Linked DNA regions of Anolis sagrei. The protein of the gene in region 2 interacts with the protein of the main gene of each other region in a pairwise test. Links are inferred from orthologs where the notes say so. Each region holds a gene or a part of one and is shown on either strand. Other genes may lie near its edges.

Evidence for each region. The genes of interacting proteins can lie anywhere in the genome.
Region 1: the proteins of RAB3IL1 (region 2) and RAB11A interact in a two-hybrid assay, tested with the Homo sapiens proteins (2 studies listed by BioGRID and IntAct). The two-hybrid records come from large-scale screens. The link is inferred for Anolis sagrei from reciprocal best matches to the Homo sapiens genes RAB3IL1 and RAB11A.

The regions. Positions count from the first base shown.
Region 1 is NC_090029.1:25,564,139-25,572,348, forward strand, and holds the start of RAB11A (ras-related protein Rab-11A), read right to left. Parts: upstream 3,135-8,210; 5' UTR 2,983-3,134; coding exon 2,940-2,982; intron 1-2,939. UniProt on the Homo sapiens protein: The small GTPases Rab are key regulators of intracellular membrane trafficking, from the formation of transport vesicles to their fusion with membranes.
Region 2 is NC_090021.1:237,453,039-237,460,354, reverse strand, and holds the start of RAB3IL1 (guanine nucleotide exchange factor for Rab-3A), read left to right. Parts: upstream 1-4,057; 5' UTR 4,058-4,327; coding exon 4,328-4,338; intron 4,339-7,316. UniProt on the Homo sapiens protein: Guanine nucleotide exchange factor (GEF) which may activate RAB3A, a GTPase that regulates synaptic vesicle exocytosis. Promotes the exchange of GDP to GTP, converting inactive GDP-bound Rab proteins into their active GTP-bound form.

The sequences.
Region 1 (8,210 bases), on a different chromosome or scaffold from region 2:
ACTTGTAGTGTTTTTGCTGTATTTATGTATTTTAATTGTTTTGTAACTCGCCATGAGGAGAGGCGGATAAGAAATAAAATTATTATTATTTGTCTGTCCTATATGTGAAAAACCTATGGTCTAAGCATTAAATAAACTATCTATGTAGCATGACCTTCTGCCTCTTCTGTGCCAAACTACAGTTTCCAGCATCTTGCTGCCTGCAGAGGCACCCTGAGGCGGAGCTGGTCAAACAGGGGGTTAAGGATCACCAAAGGGGTATTTCAATGAGTTCAATGTCCGGTTGTTTGTGGCCTACAACTCACAGAAGGCCTCGCCAGCTTCTTCAATGGTGAGGCATTCTGGGAGTTGGAGAAGGCCGGGAGGGAGGAAGGAAGTGCGCTTAAAAAAACCTCCCCTCCTCCACAACATTGTAATCTAATAATACTAATATATTATATACATTATATATACTACAACTTATGAAATAGTACAATATATTATATAATACTACTAGTATAATATACTGGTAGTATATTATACATACGTATTGTAATATTGTACAATATAATAACATTGAATAGTATTTCAGTATAATGTGTTATTATTTTTGACGTAGATGCCAATTTGTTTTTGGGATTGGGGTTTGGTTAATTTTATCTTTGTTCAGCTTCTCACGGCATTGAATGTTTGCCGATATCTGTTGTAAACCACCCTGAGTCCCCTCGGGGACATTGAGCGGGATAGAAATAAAGTTTTATTGGGTTGCTGTGAGTTTCCCAGGCTGCCTGGTCATGTTCCAGAAGCATTTCCTGATGTTTCGCCCACATATATGGCAGGCATCCTCAGAGGTTGAGGGGTCTGTTGGAAACGAGGCCAGTGGGGTTTATATATCTCTCTGTGGAGTAATGTCCAGGGTGGGAGAAAGAACTCTTGTCTGTTAGAGTCAAGTGTGAATATTGCAACTGGCCAGCTTGATTGAGCACTGAATGACCTTGCAGCTTCAAAGCCTGTTTTATTATTTATCAAAGTTTCATTATTAATTATATTGGGCTATACAATTTATATATATAATTTTGATAACATTGTAATATAATACATTATAATACTAATAATAATACAATATAATATAGAATAATATTCTAAGATAGTAATAAAACTATTTTAAATACTAGCAGTCCCCTGCCATGCGTTGCTCTGGCCCAGTGTGGTGAATAAAATAAAGTAATGTGAAAGTGTGAGTTCCTAATATATGTAATTTCTTTATGCTTGTGGGTAAACACTATTTCTTGCTGTTTCTTTGTCAGTGTTCTCATTACTGCTCTGGAACATGCAACATATCATTGTCCTTCTTTAGGGATCCCTTTCAGATCTATGATACTATATCTTCCTGTGTGTGAATCAAATATATCTATCAATATCTATGGCTGGAGGGCTTTGATTACTTTTTCTTGCCCTGGTGAAAGGAGTTGGACTGGATGACCTTAAGTATTTTCTGTTGGTCATGGGGGTTCTGTGTGGGAAGATTTCCCCAATTCTGCCATTGGTGAGATGCAGAACGCTCTTTGATTGTAGGTGAACTATAAATCCCAGTAACTACAACTCCCAAATGTCAATGTCTATTTCCCCCAAACTCAATCTCTGTTCTTATTTGGGCACATGGAATATTCGTGCCAAGTTTGGTCCAGATCCATCATTATTTGAGTCCACAGTGCTCTCTGGATGGAGGTGAACTATAACTCCCAAACTCAAGGTCAATGCCCACCAAACCCTTCCGGTGTTTTCTGTTGGTCATGGGAGTCCTAGTTTGGCCCAATTTCATCATTGGTGGAGCTTAGAATGCTCTTTGATTGTAGGTGAACTATAAATCCCAGCAACTACAACTCCCAAATGACAAAATCAAATTTTTTGAGTGATGGTCACTCCTTGCTAGTAGGTATGTTGTGGCCAAATTTGGCAGCAATTTATCCAGTGGTTTTTGAGTTCTGTTAATCCCACAAACGAACATTTGTTGTTGTTCATTCGTTCAGTCATCTCCGACTCTTCGTGACCTCATGGACCAGCCCACGCCAGAGCTCCCTGTCGGCCGTCACCACCCCCAGCTCCTTCAAGGTCAGTCCAGTCACTTCAAGGATGCCATCCATCCATCTTATCCTTGGTCGGCCCCTCTTCCTTTTACCTTCCACTTTCCCCAGCATAATTGTCTTCTCTAGGCTTTGCTGTCTCCTCATGATGTGGCCAAAGTACTTCAACTTTGTCTCTTGTATCCTTCCCTCCAGTGAGCAGCCGGGCTTTATTTCCTGGAGGATGGACTGGTTGGATCTTCTCGCAGTCCAAGGCACTCTCAGAACTTTCCTCCAACACCACAGTTCAAAAGCATCGATCTTCCTTCGCTCAGCCTTCCCTAAGGTCCAGCTCTCACATCCGTAGGTTACGACAGGGAATACCATGGCTCTGACTAGGTGGATCTTTGTTGCCAGTGTGATGTCTCTACTCTTTACTATTTTATCGAGACTGGACATTGCTCTCCTCCCAAGAAGTAAGCGTCTTCTGATTTCCTGGCCACAGTCTGCATCTGCAGTAATCTTTGCATCTAGGAATACAAAGTCTGTCACGGCCTCCACATTTTCTCCCTCTATTTTCCAGTTGTCAATCATTCTTGTTGCCATAATCTTGGTTTTTTTTATGTTTAGCTGCATTACATTTTACATTTTACAAACGAACATTACATTTTTATTTATATAGATAGATAATACTACTGAGAATATATAATCATATAGAATGATAATACTGTTTTATTATTGCATATGTTAATTTGTCATGTTTTTTTTATTGTGAGCCGCTTGGAGTCTCCGTAGGGAGAGAGAAAACGGGGTACAAATCAATCAACAAACGCCCAAGCCAGGCCTTTCTCAAGGAAACGCGCCCCCAAAGGCCCTGGAGCGAGGCCTGAGGCCTACCTTTGAAAAGATAGTCGTACTCATCGTCGCGGGAGCCCCCCATGGCGGCGGCTTCGAGGCCTTCTTCTGCTCCTCTTCTCGGCAGACACGGAAGCGACTCAGCCGGCCTCCTCCTTCTTCCTTATCCGGCCCTCCTCGCTCTCTCTCTCTGCCCAGGTCTCCTCCCACACGGATAGCGTTTCCGGCCTCAAACATCCGCTTGGTGGAGGGCACTTCCGGTTCCAGCCGCCATTCCTTGAGAGGGCACACTCCTCCGCCACAAACGGCTTCAATATGGCGGCCCCGCTTCCGGTCCAGGGCGGAAGTAGGTCTAAAACAAACGAAGAAAGGAGATGAAGCTCAAAACGCCTCTAGCGGTGGCGAAGAACAGACCGGAAGTTACGTGTCTTAAAGGAGCCGCAGCATTTACCAATAAGAACATATAATACTATATCATAATATAATAATTGGATATAATATTACTAATCATACTGAAGTATGGTGGTATAGTACAATATAATACAAAAAAACAATATATTAATTGTATATTATATATTGCGTGTAATTTTACAGTGGTATAGTACAATATAATACAATATCACAATATATTAATTGTATTGTCGAATGAACAAAATCTGACTACCAGTATTAAAAAACTCAAAAATTACAACAGCAAAACAACAGAGGGGAAACAATAAAATCACTCTCAACAAAAGATTCCCCCCAGGCACTTCCAAGCCATTGAATGCTAATCAAGGTGGTCAGTTGAAACATTCACAGCTAGCCCCAGCAGACAAAAGTCCTTTTGATATCGAGCTCTTTTGGGGGGCCTCTCCAAGAGAGAAAGCCCTAGGACCGCACCAAAGAGGGTCCTGGTACCTCGGCGAGATTTCCGGGAGCCAATCCAAGCATGCAGGAAGGTTAAAATGTAATCAGCTCACCCGAGGCGGAAGAATCCAACGATCAAGGCGTTTATTTTGCGATTCAGCTGAAAAGGATGCGTTACAGGGATATTTCCACCATAAGCATAATTTTACAGAATTTCCAGGCATTTTTATAGCATGCAGACAAAGGAAAAAACAGTTTCAAAACTCCCGCCGCCCTCTGCCGGCCGGCTTCGCCCTGATTGGCTGTGCCTGAAACAGCTGGGAGGAGGCTGGGCGATCCGCCCCGCCTCCTGGCCAATCAGGACGCTCCCGCCCCCTGGGAGGGCCAATGGGAACCCTCGGCTCGCCTCTGAGGCTAGACCAATCAGGAGCGAGGAGGCGGAGCGGCCGTGGACAAAGGGGGAAGATGATGAAATTTTGGAACCCCCTGCCGCTGGAATGCGGCTTTTGTTCCGGGCGGGAAGAGGGTGATCCTTAAGAAACAAAAGACTTCCTTGGCCTTGATGGGTTTTGGGGATAAATATGAATGGCAATGTCGACATTGGACCACCCGGAGGGTCGACGATGTCTGATTGAATTAATCAGTCTTTTCTTCCTGAGTCTCTGCAAATCTCCTTTTCCCTCTGGCCTTGCTCCGAACGATAGGATCAGGGATTTGCAGCACTGTCCATGCAATTGAGTTAATCACTGGGTGATTGAGGAAGAGGTTGGGGCCCCTTCCTCGGGCAGTTCCTGGTCACGTCGGTTTTTGGGGGGGAACAAGGGTCAAGGGGGTGAGGATCCAGGGGAGTTCATAGGGTTACATACATCGTAATCATAAGGCATCACTACCATATAGATAATATTAATATACAGGCAATATCTCATCACCTCCCACCACCCATCCCAGTTCATCGCAGAAAAAGGCATTTTTATTTATTTCATAATTGGCAAAGAAGGAAACTAAAAAAGTCCCAAAATTCAGGTCGGGGGGCTCGGATGCGAAGGGGGCAGTCCAGGGGTGCCAGCGGGCTGGCAGAAGATCAGTCCTTCCGTCCATCGGGAGCTGGAGCTGAAGGGGGAGCGAGGCTCTGGCGCTCCGTCTCCGGTGTAAGCCACGCTCCCAGCCGGGGATCGGGCCTCCCTGCCCAATCCCCCCCTTCCCAGGGCACCCAGCCGGGCAGCGGCGGTGGTTCCCCTGCGGTGGGGGCCATGCGAGAGCGAGCGGCAGCGAGCGGAGCAAAGCAATCCAGAAAGCCGGCTAAAATTTGACAATCAGCTGTTGCTTGGCCGAATTAAATCATTTAACAAACACAATTTTTTCCCGAGAGTCGGAGCCCAAAATGGAAAAACCGAGATAGCAGTTAGCGTTAGAATTTAATGTAGAAAAATACAAAATTGGAACGGGGCCGATCCGCCATGTTGTTGTTTTGGCGGATAAGGGGGGCCACTAGGATTCCCTCCGTATCCGCGGTTTTTTCGGCCGTAAATTTAGAAGCCCGGGGAGGCCAGGAAGGCATCCCCGGTGAGCTCACGGTTCCCCGGAGCTCGGAAAAAGGTTCATTAGATATGTGGAAAGCTTCAGGCAGTAAAGGACACAAAAGTATCAAGCGGAAAGGATTCAAAGTTGCAAGACTCAAGTGGTTTATTAAGGGTTTTGTTACAAAGGAAGGGAAGGGGAAAGTGAAAGAAAATCAAGAGGTTTCATGCAGTTCTTGGCTGTGAGCTGCGGGCTGGGGCACATTTCATCTGTTGGCCCAACCTGGCCCTCCGGAACTGCGGAACTCCCTGCCGCAGTTCAAACCAACTTGAAGGCAGGAGTCCCTGCCGCTTGGGGCGCTATCATACCCCCACTCGGAAACTGCAGGAGCCGCGGCGGCGGACTCCGCAATGTTTCCGCCCAAGCATTGTACCCAGCCAGGGGCAGCAGGGCCATCTGGCGAGATGGATCAGAACGCTTCCCCTTTTTGCAAATTTGGAACAGAGCGGGAATGTGAGACCAGCAGCAGCTCAAAACCATGAGAAGGACTATGAGACCTAAGAAAACTAGAAAACCCTTCCTGAGCCAATCTAACGAAGGAAGCCAGTCTGTCAAAAAGCTGAGATCAAAGCCAACGGTCTCCTTGATGCCCGCCGCCAAATCATTCATTCCCTCTATGGCCTTACGGACTACAGGGGTCTGGTCAGTCAGATTGAAACAACACATGTGGCGCACACTCTCACAGCCATAGTGATTCTTTAACAACAAAAAATCTATGGCAGCACGATTGTCCAGCACAGCTTCCCTCAGCTCGTGCATTTCAGTGGCTATGGAAGCCAAGGCTTGTGAGGTGAAATTGAGGTTTTTGACCAGAGCACAGGCCAGATGTTTAATGGCCCTGTAGTTCATGCCAGCTGCCACCCCAGGGGTGAACAGGGCAGTTGCTACAAATTGGGGAATGCCCTTGATGACCACAGAAGGATCACAATTTGGGTCCAAGTTTTGAAGGGACCGAGCCTCCCTAGCCAGGGAATGTGCCAGTTCCAGGTCACTTTTGGAAGGCATAAAAACTGACAGCCTACCCAAGGCGCAATTCCCTATGGAGGAATTGGCTGGGAGATAACTATAGGCTGTCTGCCCACACAGGAAAAACCATCCTGGGGGCAAGACCAAATGGGCATTCATGTGAGGCAAGGTCTCTATGGATGAGCAATTCAGGGAGTTGTCCTGGGTCAATTTTTGGCACTTCCCAACGCACTTGGGAACTTTGAAGCAGTGTGGAGCATGGGGGCTATGTGCCAATTTAATCGCCACCATGCCCGGTTCCCTTTCCTTGGCAGCCCTGCCCCATACAGACAGGTCTCTGTATGACATAGGCTTGGATGGGATATGCTGAAATATGGTAAAATTTCGAAAAGTCTCCAGAGGTTCTGGAATTCCGATCAAACAAGTCGAGAATAGATCCGTGGCTGTCACTCCGCTTGACAGACAGAAATCAGAGATATTGAGAACCCTAGATGCCAATTGTTGCCAAAAGTTGGCCTTTGTAGATAACCAGTCATCAATGACAGGACTAGCGGTCCTGCATTGAGAGAGAGAGAGCAGGCAAAGAATTAGAGAAAGATACATGCTGAAATTTTTGGACAGCGACACTCGTGGATTGTAGGAAAATAGGCTTACCACTAGGTGGTGCTAGTGCAGACAGCTCCCTCGCTCTGCCGGCTTGTAGCGAAAAGTGAAACTAGGCTGGGGTGAAGTAGAGGGCGCTCCTGTCAAAATCAGCTGGAACGGCTTTTGACAGACGTCAAAAGCGGGCTGACAGAAACCCGGAAGTAGCGGATTAATAGGTTCCCTTGGTCCTAGGAACGTGGAATTTGGTGGGGATCTCCAGGGGGGCCTCTGGGTCCTCTTGCACGACGTTTTTTTTCGCCTAGAGGTTCTGGAAGGGGGCGGGTCGGCCGGACCACCCGCAGGGGGGTCTCCTGAAGGGGCCTTCCGGAACAAAAGCCTCAGATCCTCCACTGGCTCAACGGTCCACTGCTCGTCGGTCTCCTCTCCCTCAATCGGCCCCACTTCTGGCTCTGGGGCCAATTTCAGCCGGGAGTGATGGATCCAGGCACGGATGCCCTTTACCTTGGCAGCTGTGTGGGTGGTGAGGAGGATCTGGTGAGGTCCAACCCACTTTTCGGTCAACGCCTCCGGTTTGTAGGTGCGAACGAGGACCCAATCCCCAATAGAGAAGTTGTGCACAGGAGCATCCAGAGGGACAGGAAGGCGAGAAAGCAGGTACCTATTCAGGGAAGAGAGGATAGAAGTAAGGAACGACAGCCTTTGTCTAATGCTTTCGGATCCCACCTCATGCAGGTGATCAGCCTTTAAAGGAACCTGAGAAGAAGGAAAGGGCCTACCATAGAGAATCTCAAAGGGACTCAGCTTTAACTTTCCCCTAGGAGCTGCCCTAACTCGAGTGAGAGCAAGTGGAAGGGCATCTGGCCAGGGCAAGCTCGCCTGCTGACAAATCTTAGCCAACTGTCTCTTGATGGTCTGGTTCATCCTCTCAACCTTCCCACTAGCCTCAGGATGCCAGCTGGTATGCAAGTCCCACTTGATCTGGAGGACCTGGGCGACCTGCTGCGTGACCTTGGAGATGAAAGATGCCCCGTTGTCTGAGGACAGACATGCGGGCAGTCCAAAACGGGGGATGATGTGGTTCAGGAGGGCATGGCTTACTTCCTTGGCAGTACAGGAGTAGCAGGGAAAGGCCTCTGGCCAGCCACTGTAACTGTCCACAAACACCAACAAGTATTTGTACTTCCTACTGGATGGCAGTTCAGCAAAGTCCACCTGCCACACCTGCCCTGGCTGGAGGCCTGCCTTGAGATGCCCCACTTCTGGCTTCTTCTGGATCTTGGGATTGTTCTTAAGACATAAAAGGCACCGTCGACA
Region 2 (7,316 bases):
GCCATTCTAATGATCATTGCACATAAACCCAAGTCCATCTATTGCACAAGTTCTTTAAAGGCTTGGTCACAAAGCCACATTTTCACTCTCTTGTGGAAGGTCAGAAGTGAGGGGGCTGTTCTAACATCACTAGGGAGGGAGTTCCACAGTCAAGGGATCACCACTGAGAAGGCCCTGTCTCTCATCTTGGTCAATCATGCCTGCAAGGAAGGAGGGATCAAGAGCAGGGGCTCCCCAGATGATCTTAAACTCCACAGTGGTTCATAGAGGGAAATACGTTTGGACAGATAAGCTGGGTCAGAACTGTTTAGGGCTTTATAGGCTAAAGCTAGCACTTTGAATTGTGCTCGGTAGCAAATTGGCAGCCAGTGAAGCTGACGTAACAGGGGGGTTTTATGCTTCCTGTATGCCGCTCTGGTGAGCAATTGGGCTGCCACCCGTTGGACCATTTGGAGCTTTTGAACCGTCTTTAAAGGCAGCCCCGCATACAGCACATTGCACTAGTCTATTCGAGATGTAACCAGAGTGTAGACTACTGTGGCCAAGTATAACTTCCCAAGGTACGGGCGCAACTGGCGCACAAGTTTTAATTGTTCGAACGATCCCCTGGCCACCGCCGAGATCTGTTGTTCCAAGCTCAGCAATGAGACCAGAAGAACTACCAAGCTGTGAACCTGTGTCTTCAGGTTGTAACCCTATACGCTGTTCAGCTGTTTGTTGTTGTACTGCAACTCATGGAAATGCCTAGGTACTATAGCCAATGGGTTTAATGTGGGATCAAGGGAGAGACAGCTCTCAAACTGAAAAGCCCCGGTTTTCCTCAGTTTTGGCTTTCCATTAAACTCTATCTGGGCAACAGATCACAAAAGACAACTCTTGCAGTGAATTACCCTTCAAGGACATCTTGATATACATGTTAACTGCTTACAGAGCAATACCTGCTGCTACTTCCTTCCCTGCTCCTCTTTATTGCTGTAATAGCCAAAGGCCAAAGAAGAAATTGCCAAGCATTGCTCAAAATCAGGAGAAGCCTGCTTCTGTTCTTGGGAAACTCCAGGAGCCATATGGATGACCAAAAAATGAGAGATATGGGGTGTGGCTGGAAGCCTGCTTTCTAGCATTGAAAAACAAGTGTTTGACTTCATATTGAATGGGGGTGGATGGGTCAATGGGAGTGCAACCTGTTTCAAAGGCGAGCTGCTGCTCCTGGAGGCTTCTCTGGGAGGCTATTTCTGAATTGTTGTCAAATGAACTTCGACTTATGGAGAGCCTATTCTTGAGTGACTTCTGTGTTCCCGTGCCATCTTTCAGACTCAGGACAGCCATGGCTTGAATCTATCCATCTGAAATGGGGTCTTCTTACAGTCCTCCATTTTGTCAAGCACTGCTGTCTTTCTAATGCGTGAATTCTGGATGGCCATCTGTCAGGGGTGATTTGAATGCAATATTCCTGCTTCTTGGCAGGGGGTTGGACTGGATGGTCTATGAGGTCTCTTCCAACTCTTTGATTCTATGATTCTTCTCCTATGTCCAAAGTAGGACAGCTTCAGTTTAGTCATAATACATAAATAAAAAAATAAATTGTATTTTTACCTGTTTCTCCTTATGGCTCTTGGCAGGGCACAACACAGTTAAAATATATTATCATAACATAAGTTTTATGAAAACTTATATTAAAACTTATTTTTTACAAAATGCACATATTAGAGTATAGAACAAAAATTAAAATACAACAAGCATAGAACAGTCCTCCAGGCATTTTGGACTTCAACTCCCACAATTGCTAACAGCCTCAGGCCATTTCTGCTTAAGCGGATGAGGGGGGAAAGGAAGGGGCCCAAGGCTGTTGGGAATTGTGGGAGTTGAAGTCCAAAACACCTGGGCTGAAGTTTGCCTGGACCTGATATAGAATGTGAATCTAAAATTCATAGTTAATAATTGCCTGCTGGAAGAGATGGGTCTTCAGAAGTGTCTTGCATTCTGACAACTGACTGAGCTGTCAAATATCTTCCAGCTGCTCCTCTTTTGGACAGCAAAGGAAAAGGTCCTCTTGGATGCACTATCTCTGTGAGTGCATCTACACCAGGCCTGGGCAAACTATACTTTGTTCTAGTGGGTTTTTTCGGGCTATAGAGCCATGTTCTAGAGGTATTTCTCCTGACGTTTCGCCTGCATCTATGGCAAGCATCCTCAGAGGTAGTGAGGTCTGTTGGAATTAGGACAATGGGTTTATATATCTGTGGAATGGCTGGGGTGGGGCAAGGAGCTCTTCCCTGCTGCAGTTAGGTGTGAATGTTTCAGCTGATCACATTCATTAGCATTTGAAGGCCTGTCTGAGTCTGGGAACATCTCTTGCTGGGAGGTGTTAATCTGTGCCTGGTTGTTTCCTCTCTGTTGTTTTGCTGTTGTAATTTTATAGTTTTTTTAATACTGGTAGCCAGATTTTGTTCATTTTCATGGTCTCTTCCTTTCTGTTGAAATTGTGCACATGCTTGTGGATTTCAATGGCTTCTCTGTGTAGTCTGACATGGTGGTTGTTGGTGTGGTCCAGCATTTCTGTGTTCTCAAATAATATGCTGTGTCCAGGCTGGTTCATCAGGTGCTCTGCTATGGCTGACTTCTCTGGTTGAAGTAGTCTGCAGTGCCTTTCATGTTCCTGGATTCTTGTTTGGGCACTGCGTTTGGTGGTCCCTATGTAGACTTGTCCACAGCTGCATGGTACACAGTAGACTCCTGCAGAGGTGAGAGGATCCCTCTTGTCCTTTGCTGAACATAGCATTTGTTGGATTTTCTTGGTGGGTTTGTAGATTGTTTGTATGTTGTGTTTCCTCATCAGCTTCCCTATGCGGTCAGTGATTCCCTTGAAGTATGGCAGGAACAGAGTCAGGAGAAATGCCTCTAGAACATGGCTCTATAGCCCCAAAAAACCCACAAGAACCTAGTGATTCCAGCCATGAAAGCCTTCGACAATACATTAAACTATACTTCCTTTCACTTAAGCATCTGAGGGGGGAAAGGAAGAGGCCTGAGGCTGTTAGGAATTGGAGAGCTGAAGTTGGCCCATGATTGATCTACAGAATATAGTATAAATGCAGTTTGGCACTACTTTTGTTATCGAGCTCTTTTTTGGGGTCCTCCCAGCGAGGGAGATCCCAGAAGACCGCATCACTTTTACTGCCATGGTTCAATGCTCTGGAATCCTGGGAGTTTCAGTTTAGCAACTCACCAGCACTTTTTGGCAGAGAAGGCTAAAGACCTTGTAAAACCACAACTCTTGGGTGAAAAGGAATCCTGTGAGGGAAAGGCTTAAGAGGCCCTGGAACAATGTGTTGTCGAAGGCTTTTATGGCCGGGTTGCTGTGAGTTTTCTGGTCTGCATGGCCATGCTCCAAGCATTCCCTCCTGACGTTTCACCCACATCTATGGCAGGCATCAGAGGTTGTGAGGTCTGTTGGAAAGTGATGTTTATATATCTGTGGAATGTCCAGGGTGGGAGAAAGAACTCTTGTCTGCTTGGGACAAGTGTGAATGTTGCAATTGGGTTGTTGTAGGTTTTTTGGGCTATATGGCCATGTTCTAGAAGCATTCTCTCCTGAAGGAGAGAATCAAGCTGCAATTGGCTAGCTTGATTAGCAATGAATGGCCCTGCAGCTTCAAAGCCTGGCTGATTGCTGCCTGGGGGGAATCCTTTGTTGGGAGGTGTTAGCTGGCCCTGATTAATTTTTGTCTGGAATCCCCCTGCCAAACGTCAGGAGAGAATACTTCTGGAGACATGGCCATACAGCCCGGAAAACTCAGAGCAACCCGGCCCTGGAGTAGTGTGGTGGGAGTCTCTTTCTCAGGAGATATTTTAAAGCAGGGGCTGAATCCAGGCCATTTGTCAGGAGTATCCCAGAGGGTTGGACTAGATGGCCTTTAGTGGTCTCTTCCCAGTTTAGGATTCCGTTCATGAGTGGATAGAGTGAGAGAAGGGGGGTCACGTGAAAGCGGGGGGGGGGAGAGCTTTCGGGGAGGTCACGTGACCTCTCCTCCTCCTCCTCCTCCTCCTTTCCTGCCCCCTCCCCCGCCCATCCCTTCTCCTCCAGCTGCGGAGGCGTCCGAGCAGCTGGGCTGGGAGGGTTTCCAGCGCCTGCCGCAGCGGCTCCAGGAGGGGAAAAGCCAAGGCAAGCGGGCCGCCCTGCATTGAAGGCGAGCTCTGCGCTCTGCCTTGCAAGGAAGGAGACCCGACCATGGCTATGGCTATGGCTATGGCTATGGCTGCGGCGGCGGCGGCGGAGGCGCCCTCCTTCTCTTCCTGAGGCTCCGGCGGCCACGTCCTTGGAGGCAGCATGTGGCGCGGGTAGGTGCTGCGGGTTAACGGGGAGGGTGGCAGAAAGGGCACCGAAGGGGGCTGCTTCCCCGGGGCCTTTTGGCCTGCCTTCTGCTCTGCACCAAGGAGGGGAGGCTTGGAGAAAACCCGGTGCGGAGGTTTTACAGCTTCAAGGGTGCATCTACACTGCGGAATGAATGCAGCTTGACACCACTCTCACTGCTGCCCTTCGCTTTCCCTCCAAACCACAGGATTCCACAGCAGAGCCGTGACAGTTCAAGTGGTGTCCAATCGCTTTCCTTCCACAGTGGAGAGCACCCCAAAGGGCAGCAGGGACCACTCTGTCTTCCAAGTCGCATCTCGCTTATGGTGACCCTCAAGCACCCCGTCACATTAGTTCTCATCACACTAGAGAACGAATCCACTTTAAATCCGGTTTCTGCAGAATTCTGGGAATTGTAGTTTAGGGAGGAACCTTTAACAGCCTCACTAAACTACAAACCCCAGAATTCTGTAGGAGGCAGAAACCAGTTTTAAAGTGGATTCATTCTCTAGTATGATCAAGTAGCTTGACACGATTTCTTCCAGAAGGTGTTTGCAGTTCCCTTCCTTGGGCTGAGAGAGAGTGACTCACACAAGGTCATCCAGTGGGTTTCCATGGCCCACCAGTGGTTTGAACCCAGGTCTCCAGAGTCATCATCCCAATGTTCAAGACATTTTGTCACACTGGCTCCTCTGTGGGTTGGGATTGTGGACAGAGGCGGCCCTAGGTAATTTTCAATGGTAAGCAAACAGTATTTTGGCACCCCCCCCCCCCCAACCAATCACTGATGTATATTTTCTGTTCGTCGTGGGAGTTCTGTGTGCCATATTTGGTTCAATTCCATCATTGGTGGAGTTCAGAATGCTCTTTAATTGTAGGTGAACTATAAATCCCAGTAACTACAACTCACATATGTCAAGGTCTATTTTTCCCCAAGAGTGCCTCAAGAGCGCCCCTGGGCAAAATCAACTATGCTGCAAATGCTTACTTTGCGTAATGGGTTGAGCCACCCCTGATTGTGGATGTGGGAGACTTTTCCCCGCCTTGCTTTGCACCCTCCCCATTCTTTCCCATGCTATTCCTCTCCTACTCCCCAACTTCTATTAGTTCAAGCCTGAACCTGATGGGCAAAGGTCACCCAAGGATGGGTGGGAGGCATGAGACTAGAAGTTGCAGATGAAGGGTCTACCTTCATTCTACCTGCCAAAATGCTAAAGACCCTCAGGCACCCCATCACAAGGTTTCCTAGACACGATTTCTTCCAGAAAGCATTTGCAGTTCCCTTCTTTGGTCTGAGAGAGTGTGACTCACACAAGGTCACCCAGTGAGTTTCTGTGGCCCAGCAGAGATTCTAACCCAGGTCTCCAGAGTCATAACCCCAGCATTCAAGTCTCACACTGGCTCCTCTGTGGGTCGGGGTTGTGGATGTGGAAGACTCCTCCTCCTTTGCTTTTCATACTCTCCATTCTTTGCCATACTTCCTCTCCTCCAAAGCAGAATAGAGGGGTAGCATTACTTCCCTAGATCTAGGGAAGTAATGCTACCCCTCTATTCTGCTTTGGTTAGAGCACACCTGGAATATTGTGTCCAATTCTGGGCACCACAATTCAAGAGAGATATTGACAAGCTGGAATGTGTCCAGAGGAGAGCGACTAAAATGATAAAAGGTCTGGAGAACAAGCCCTATGAGGAGCGGCTTAAGGAGCTGGGCATGTTTAGCCTGAAGAAGAGAAGGCTGAGAGGGGATATGATAGCCATGTATAAATATGTGAGAGGAAGCCACAGGGAGGAGGGAGCAAGCTTGTTTTCTGCTTCCCTGGAGTCTAGGACGCGGAACAATGGCTTCAAACTACAAGAGAGGAGATTCCATCTGAACATGAGGAAGAACTTCCTGACTGTGAGAGCCATTCAGCAGTGGAACTCTCTGCCCCGGAGTGTGGTGGAGGCTCCTTCTTTGGAAGCTTTTAAGCAGAGGCTGGATGGCCATCTGTCAGGGGTGATTTGAATGCAATATTCCTGCTTCTTGGCAGGGGGTTGGACTGGATGACCCATGAGGTCTCTTCCAACTCTTTGATTCTATGATTCTATTCTATGAACCTGGAAGATCACTCAAGGATGGGAAAAAGGCTTGGGACTAGAAGTTGTGGATGAAGGTTCCTTTTAGTTAGCTGTCTTCTAGCTGCCAGAATGCTAAAGACCCTCAGGCACCCTGTCACAAGATTTCCTGGACATGATTTCTTCCAGAAGGCCTTTGCAGTTCGCTTCCTTGGTCTGAGAGAGTGTGATTCACATAAGTTCAACCAGTGGGTTTCTGTAGCCCAGCAGAGATTCGAACCCAGGTCTCCAGAGCCATCACCCCAAGGTTCAAGTCTCACACTGGCTCCTCTGTGGGTCGGTGTTGTGGATGTGGTAGAATTTTCCCCACCTTGCTTTGCACCCTCTCCATTCTTTTCCATGCTACTCCTCTCCTCCTCACCAACTTCCACTAGTTCAAGCCTGAACCTAATGGGCAAAGATCGCCCAAGGATGAGTGGGAGGCATGGGACTAGAAGTTGTGGATGAAGGATCCTTTTATTTAGCTGTCTTTTAGCTGCCACAATCACATGTCCATAGCAGGAGGAGATCGATAATCTGGTCTCCAGAAGTTTGACCCTCCAGTTGAATTCTGAAGAAAAAGTAAACACACCATTCAGAACTGTTGTTGTGGAGTGCCTTCCTGTCATTGTGATTTAGTAGTAAAGGTAAAGGTTTTCCTCTGACATTAAGTCCAGTCGTGACTGACTCTGGGGGTTGGTGCTCGTTTCCATTTCTAAACTGAAGAGCCGGCGTTGTCAGTAGACACCTCCAAGGTCATGTGGCTGGCATGACTGCATGGAGCGCCATTACCTTCCCACCGGAGCAGTACCTAGTGATCTACTCACATTTGCATGTTTTCAAACTGCTAGGTTGGCAGAAGCTGGGGCTA